2 linked regions of the Canis lupus familiaris genome follow. The protein of the gene in region 1 interacts with the protein of each later gene in a pairwise test. Links are inferred from orthologs where the notes say so. Each region holds a gene or a part of one and is shown in the gene's direction. Other genes may lie near its edges.

Region 1 (3,744 bases):
TTCTCCTCTACGTGCTTCTTTACATAAACCATGGGAACTCAGTCATTGCAACAGGACCTCCTCCCACCTGCCAGGATCCTGAACCGGGGTCTGAGTCAGTTCTCCACGGGCCAGCGATGCCTGGAGGAGACGGCGGACTTTCTTTTCACCTCTTGGACTTAAACAGAAGCCATTCATTACAGATAGGGAAGGAGCAGGGCGTGTGAAAACACACACACACACACACACACACACACACACACACACAATATGGCCAAACTGGGTCTCGCACCCCGGGATCTTCCAACGCTCATTTCCATACCGAAGCGTGTGTGTGGTTCGTCTCCCGGCGGCGGCGGAGGACGTGCACTTTTCGAAGGAGACGCTCACAACTTCATCGCGCTACCGTCGCTCTCCGCTGCAAAATCCACTCTAGACGCGTGGAAATGCATCCAGAGCCTAACCTCCAGTCTCTCCTCCGGCCAGGCGAGCCCTTCCCCGGCTGCGGTCGGGTCCGAGGAACTTCCCGCTCGCCCCTTCCTGCTAACGAGGCCGCTCCTGGAGGAAGGACGCCACCCGGTCCATCCACACCTCTGCAGCGCCCCGTCCGAGCCCGCGCCCCCCGGCCCCCGCCCCGCCCCCCAGACCTTCCTGCCTCACCTTCTCTCGCGACGCGGGAGCCTGGGCTTTAACCCCTTCCGGTCCCCCAGAGGGAACGGGGGGAAGACTAAAGACAACGCACCTACTGCGTGACGCAATTCTGTTCCCCGAGGAAACGAGAGCTTTGGAACGAAAGTACCAGGCCCTCTCGCAAAGGGCTGAGCGAGTGAACTCTCGCCTCTTCTTGTTTGTGGGGAAACCAGAAAAGCTGCCTGGCCCGCCGCCACAACCCCTTGCCCCCACTGCCAACCCCGCGGGCGGTAGAAGTGCGGGGGACAGAACTCGCAGCGTCCCAGAGAAGCCTCCATAGGACTCCGATGTCTAGGGCGTTGTAGCCGCTGCCAGAAATATCGATGAGCGCCTACCTTCAGGTTTACAATGGACATAATTGCAAATTAAAAGAGAGAGAGTCCCACCCCCCCCCCCCCACCCCCCCACCCCCCCACCCCCGGTGGATTAGCAGCAGCGACCTGGCCTCAGGTGCCCTCTGGCAGAGTAGCGCAGGCGGCGCGCTGGCGGCCGGGGTGGGCGGGGGTGGAGAACTCGGTGCTCTGCCCGTTGTGCCTGGCGAGGTGCTGCTGTCCCCGGGCCTGGGGAGTCCCAGCGCGGACGGGGAGGCGAGCGGTGGCGGAGGAGATGGCTTCCCAGCCGCCTCCTCCCCCGAAACCCTGGGAGACCCGGCGAATTCCTGGGGTCGGGCCGGGCCCGGGCCCCGGCCCCTCTTTCCAGTGAGTGTGGGATTCTTCTGGCCGCGGGGCTGGCGGGGCGGAGCGGCGGTTTGGCAGGAGACGGTTGAGGCCGTTGTGGGGCGGAGGTGTCCCCTCCCCCCGCGCCGGGCCCGGGCGCCGAGGGGTCTAAGCTAGAGACCACTCCGGGGCCGCACGGCTCTCTCGGACTGGACGGCTCTCGGTAGGGACGCTCTTCAGGGGGACCCTCCCTGGGTCCCGGCGCCTGCAGGAAAGCGGGAGGCTTTCCTGCCTCCGTTTCCTGGGAGCGGAACACGGCGACAGAACCGCTCGGCCCTTAGAAAAAAATGTTCGACTTTTGGTCTTTGGCAGGTGTGAGTGGCTGAGATTGGCCCAGCCCCAGGTCGCCCCGGAGGGAGCAAAGTCTCCGCCCGGCTTTTACGGCGCCTCTCGGGCAGCTGGTGGAGGCCCCGAAGGTCGCTGTGAACCCAGGTCTATGCACTTTATGTTGTTTTTCTGCATAACTGAGCGACGTTTTGGGTAAAGACCTGGAGAAGCAACTTTCAAGCGGGAGTCCTAAATCCGAGGCCTATATGTAGATGGCCTTTGTGGGTCACTTTTCCAAGGCCTGTGTGTTGTTGTTTATTTATTTATTTGTTTGTTTCTCATCGGTGTCTTTTTTTTTTAAGATTTTATTTATTTATTCATGAGAGACACAGAGAGAGAGAGAGGCAGAGACACAGGCAGAGGGAGAACCCCCCCACACACCCCCCACCCCCATATACTGGGTGTATTCCTGCTGTGTTGTAAGATCTTGTAATCCTTGTTGAAATGTTGAGATACTTGAACACATTAGCAGCTTAATCTAATAATGGTAGATTCATCACGAGTAATAAGCTTTGATTGTACTGTTAAGTTGGAGGGCGACGCTTTCTGCTGTGTTATGAATGATTTGACTTTTTTAAATTAATTAATTTTAAGGTTTTATTTATTTATTTATTTTATTCATGAGAGACACACACAGAGGGAGCCCGACGTGGGTGGGACTCGATCCCCGGGACTCCAGGATCACGCCCTGGGCCCCAAGGCAGGCGCTAAACCGCTGCGCCACCCAGGGATCCCCCCCCCCCCCCGCCATTGGACTTTTTTTAAAACCTTGAACAGCAATTTGGGAAGACAGGTTTTATACTTGGCATCTTGTTAAAAGTCCTGTTTATGTAAAATTAACCTTTTTTTCCCCCCATTTTTCTTCGTTGAGAATTTTAAACACATAGAAATCTGGTAGAGTGTTAAGACAAGGAATACTTGCGGACTCAGGCTAGCTTTAAGAACATTTTTCCAGATCTGCCTCAGATTTTTTTTTTTTTTCAGATTAAAAAAATAATAATAAAACTTAGAGAAAGTGTTAAGCCTCCCATTCTTCTTTCCTGCTATAACTACTGTCCCTATTTGGTGGTTTGTGTGCCCAATTATGTTTTTATAGTTTAGCAGTTTTTGTGTTTTATGTGTGTGTGTGTATCTGTGTGTATAGTGTTTAGTGTGTTTTTAGACTTTATGTTCAAACTATCATTTTGCAAATTTTTTCCATTAAATACTGATTTTGAGGTTTCTCTTGTTCATACTTACATCTGTAGTTCATTTTAATCGCCAAAGGATATTCTATTAAAACAAACTTATTCTGTTGTAGGTGTTAAAGTATTAGCTACATATTAAAAACCGCTAGTGATTTTTTTAAAAGATTATTTACTTATTTGTGAGAGAGAGAGAGAGAGAACATGAGCAGGGGCAAGGGGCAGAGGGAGAGGGAAAAGCAGACTCCCTCAGAGCAGGGAGCCCAATGCCAACTGATCCCAGGACAGTGAGATCACGACCTGAGCCTAAGGCAGACACCCACTGAGCCACCCAGGTGCCTCTGCAGTGACCATTCTTGTGCCTTTCTTCTTGTCCTCATTTCCAAGGTGTTTCCTAATTGTTATTGGAAGTGGAATTGCTTGGTGGAGGGTATGCTTAGCTTCAAGTACTAACTATTGCCAAGTTGCTCCCCAAAGTGGTTTTATACCAGTGTTTACATTTTCACTAGCAAAGTATTGTGTCTCTACATTCTTTCTAACACTTGATGTTATTTTTTAGTTCTTTATTTGCCAACCTAATAGATAAGAAAAGATATTTCATTTTTAATTTGTACTCTCTGGTTAGTAATAAGATTGAGCATCTTTTTTTTTATGAGCATCTTTTTGAATATTAGCCATTTGAGTTTTTTCTGTTGATATTTCTTGCCCACTTTTTTTATTGGCTCCAAATTTGCCTATCAACTTGTTAAAAGTCCTTTATTCATACTTACTCTATTTTTGTATGTTTTCAATATCTTTCAGTCTGTGACTTGTCTTCTTGCTGTATTTGTATTCATGTTCACTTTTGT
Region 2 (3,744 bases), on another chromosome or scaffold:
TTTGACATTGTCCAGCTGCTGCTTGGCAATAAATTCCTCTTTTTTTTTTTTTTAAATTTTATTTATTTATCCATGAGAGACACAGAGACAGAGACGCAGGTAGGGGGAGAAGCAGGCTCCCTGCAGGGAGCTTGACGCAGGACTCGATCCCAGGTCTCCAGGGTCACGTTCTGGGCCGAAGGCGGCACTAAACCGCCGAGCCACCCGGGCTGCCCATATTCCTCTTTCTTCTAATACTACTACTTACCCCCTCTGAAAAACGTTTAATATTAAAATAATAGTAAAAAAATTTAAAAAGTTCCTCGCTTAAAAGGGGAGGCCTATTGTGTAAATGAGAAATAGGCCATATTCATTCAGTCTCTTCCATACTTTGTTTAAAAGAAAATAAGGTATTATCTCATAAGATAAGGGTAAGCATTTAAAACAGTGTTGGGGGCACCTGGGTGGCTCGGTGGTTGGGCGTGCCTTTGACTCTGGTCATGACCCCGGGGTCCTGGGATTGAGCCTCACCTTGGCCTCCCCGCGTGGAGCCTGCTTCTCCCTCTGCCTGTGTCTCTACCTCTCTGTGTGTCTCTCATGAATGAATAAATAAAATCTTAAAAACAAAAACAAACCAAGAAACACAAAACAACAATCTTTGTAGGGAGACTATTCCTTGAGGCAGCCCTTTTGAATACTCCATAATCCATCAAAACGCCGCAATATGGACTGACCCCTTGTGTAACACATGCAATCTTGGTGTGCGACCCTACACTCGGCCTAAAACCTAACAACTCGATGACTCTAGAGGACGAGAAGGATCTCCGCCGCGGAAAGCCCCGTTCAGCGTCCCCCCGTAGGCGTGCAAGCCGCGGGCGGGCTCCTCAGATGCTGCGGTTGGGTGAGCATCCGCGGTAGGCTCTCCGCAAACGATACCGAGCAGGACCATTTCTTGATTAACTTCCACGTTCCTTCCCATTCGTTCATTCGTTCGAGACCTAGCGAGTCCATGCCTGTGCCCGAGGCACCGTGGGGCTGGACAGCGACTTAATGCAGTGAGAATGATGCAGCGAGGACGGGCTCAGGATGCTGCCGGAACGGGGCCCGAGGGCACACGCGGGGTGACCCGGCCGTGTGAGCGCGCCCTGCTCGCGGTCGGTGCTCCCGCAGGCGCCCTCATCGACTGCTCAGTGCCGGCTGCTCTGGTCTGCGCGGGCGAGCGCGTGGGGGCTCCTGGGAGGCGCTCGCCCAGCGGCGATGGATTAGCCAGGCCTCAGGAAGATGGCGTCCTCGGAGCAGGCAGAGCCGCCGAGCCAGGTGAGGGGAGAGGGCTGCCCCGCCGCGGCTGCCGCGGCGCCCCGAGCCTCCCCGCCCGGCGGCCGCGACCTCAGGCCCCCGGCCCCGCCCCCGGCGGCCCCGCGCGGGTCGGTGCCTCCTGCGCTCGGCCGGGAGGCGGCGGGACCCTCGGGGCGCAGGCGGCCGCGGCGGCGGGGCTCCTGCCCGGGGGCGGCCGCGAGGGGCCGTGGGCCTCGGGCGCGGGGTGGGGGGCGCGGGGGAGCCGCCGCCTGCAGAGCCGCCCGCTCCCGCCCGTCGGCCGCGGGGTCGGCCCCACGCCTCGCGGGCCTGGGGCTCCTGCCGCAGCCGGGCCCCAGCAGGTCGCGGTGCGGGGCCTCCGGGACGGGATCCGCGGGCGGGGGAGCCGGAGGCCGGACCGCGACCCCGACCCGACCCGACCCGACCCCGATCGCGACCCCGACCCCGCCCCTGACGCCGACCCGACCCCGACGCCGACCCGACCCCGACTCGACCCCGACCCGACCCCGACCCCGACGCCGGACCCCGACGCCGACCCGACCCTGACCCCGCCCCGACCCCGACGCCGGACCCGGACGCCGACCCGACCCTGACCCCGCCCCCTCCCCGACGCGGGACTCCGACCCGACCCTGACCCCGACCCGACCCCGCCCCTCCCTCGCCAGCTCCCTCCTTCATCGCCTGAAGCCGCTCCCTCCGCGTCCCTGGCGGTGGGGCTGCCGCAGGCCCGGCACGGACAGCGCCTGCCCCCAGACCAGCTTCTGCTACAGCGAGCGACTCGGAGACGACGTGTGGGTCGGAGCGGCGGGAGCCCCGGGCGGTCTGGGATCCCGAGGCGGCCGGGCCCCCTCCGGCCTCGCGCCGCGGGGCCCCAGGAAACCCGGCTCTGACGACCGCCGCGTGCTAGGATCGCCCACCGCTCGGACCGCGGCCGTCAGCCCCGACTCCTCCAGGGCCTTAGGTCGCCAGCGCGGGGAAGGCCCCCAACAGCCCGCCACCTGCAGCCGTCCTAGTGCACGAGGGCCCCTTGGTTCAGGAGATTGTCCCCCCGGTAGGTGTGCAGCGGCTCCCAGGCCCTTTGCGGGGCTTTGGCCCGCACCTGTTTGCTTGTCGGCTCTGCCTGTCCTTTGCCCTCCTGTCCAGAGCTGCTGGAACTGGGGTTGCCCCAGGACGCTGGCCGTCTGCGGGGAATTAGATCCCTCCATGCCGGATCCTGTCCGTGTCTAGCACTAAGCCGCAGGTGCACACTGACCAGGAACCAGCTCCCGCAGGACTCGCTTGCCGTTTCACTGTCAGATCCTGATCCGCTCGGCTTCCCTGGTTCTGCAGTCAAAGCAGAGTGGAATGGAAAGGATTACTTGCAAATTCCTGTAAACCTGGTTTGCAAGAAAGAACACATTGTACCTTCGGGACGAGTCAGTGTTTATTTCACAGAAGGTCTCTGTCGGTCGGCCTTGTGGCCTCGGTCTCTCGTTCTGAAAGACACAGGGTGACGTCAACCCTTGCTTCCTTTGAGAGGCCGTGGAGAACAGCGGCATGGGCCCCGGCGCCATCCTGCCGGCTTAGGATCCTAGCCTCACTGCTTACAGCTTTCTTTGGCTTTAGTTTCTCCATCTGCACACTAGGAATAATTCTGGTGCCTGTCTTAGAGGGTTTCTCTGAGGAGTAAATAAATTAACTTATTTAAACTTTTTAAAGATTTATTTGAAAGAGACAGTGTGCGCACCTGTGTGTGCAAGCAGGGCAGGGGCAGAGGGAAGAGGAGAGAGAGAGGGTCTCAAGCAGACTTCTCTGCTGAGTGTGGAGCCAGCCGGGGGCTTCATCCCCAGACCAGAGATCATGACTTGAGCCAAAACCAAGAGTCAAGACACTTAAGCAACTGAGCCACCCAGATGTCCCCAAATTAACTTATTTTGGAATAGTGCTTGTCATGCTGTGATGTTATTATTGCATTCATTAAACTCTGGATTTTCACTCGCCAATGAGAGAAATCTTTCTCAAGCCTTATTATAATGTTTTAGGATATGATTTTTCACATGTTGACTACCAGCCCACTAAAGCTGTTCTTTTCTTTGTTCTGGAGCAATTTCTTTCCAATTTAAAGGAATACCCCAAATGCTGGTGTTTATCCTAGCTGTCCTTTGTGACTCTTAGATGGCGACACACTTGCTTTTTTCATAATGCTGATCTTTTTGGTCTTTTTTCAAGACATTCTCTTGGACTTAGAAATCATATTTATTGCTTCTCATCCTTGTTCTGTTTCCCCCATGTTACTCTAGTTTGCATGGTTGATCTCTTAGGAGAGGCCCTTCTAGTCTGTTCGTGGTATGGCCCATAGGAGTGGGAGCTGTTATCCTGTTTCTGCACTTCTCCACCAGAAGAGCAGAAGCATGATTCAGTCTAATTGTTTAGTGGTTGTTGAATATGGAACGTATTACAGAATATAGATTT

What was found. The genes of interacting proteins can lie anywhere in the genome.
Region 2: the proteins of PEX13 (region 1) and PEX14 interact in a two-hybrid assay, tested with the Homo sapiens proteins (2 studies listed by BioGRID and IntAct, with this or other methods). The link is inferred for Canis lupus familiaris from reciprocal best matches to the Homo sapiens genes PEX13 and PEX14.

Annotation. Positions count from the first base shown.
Region 1 is NC_049231.1:62,393,957-62,397,700, forward strand, and holds the start of PEX13 (peroxisome biogenesis factor 13), read left to right. Parts: upstream 1-1,211; 5' UTR 1,212-1,275; coding exon 1,276-1,367; exon of another isoform or gene 1,368-1,668; intron 1,669-3,744. UniProt on the Homo sapiens protein: Component of the PEX13-PEX14 docking complex, a translocon channel that specifically mediates the import of peroxisomal cargo proteins bound to PEX5 receptor.
Region 2 is NC_049223.1:84,907,774-84,911,517, reverse strand, and holds the start of PEX14 (peroxisomal membrane protein PEX14), read left to right. Parts: upstream 1-1,193; 5' UTR 1,194-1,260; coding exon 1,261-1,296; intron 1,297-3,744. UniProt on the Homo sapiens protein: Component of the PEX13-PEX14 docking complex, a translocon channel that specifically mediates the import of peroxisomal cargo proteins bound to PEX5 receptor.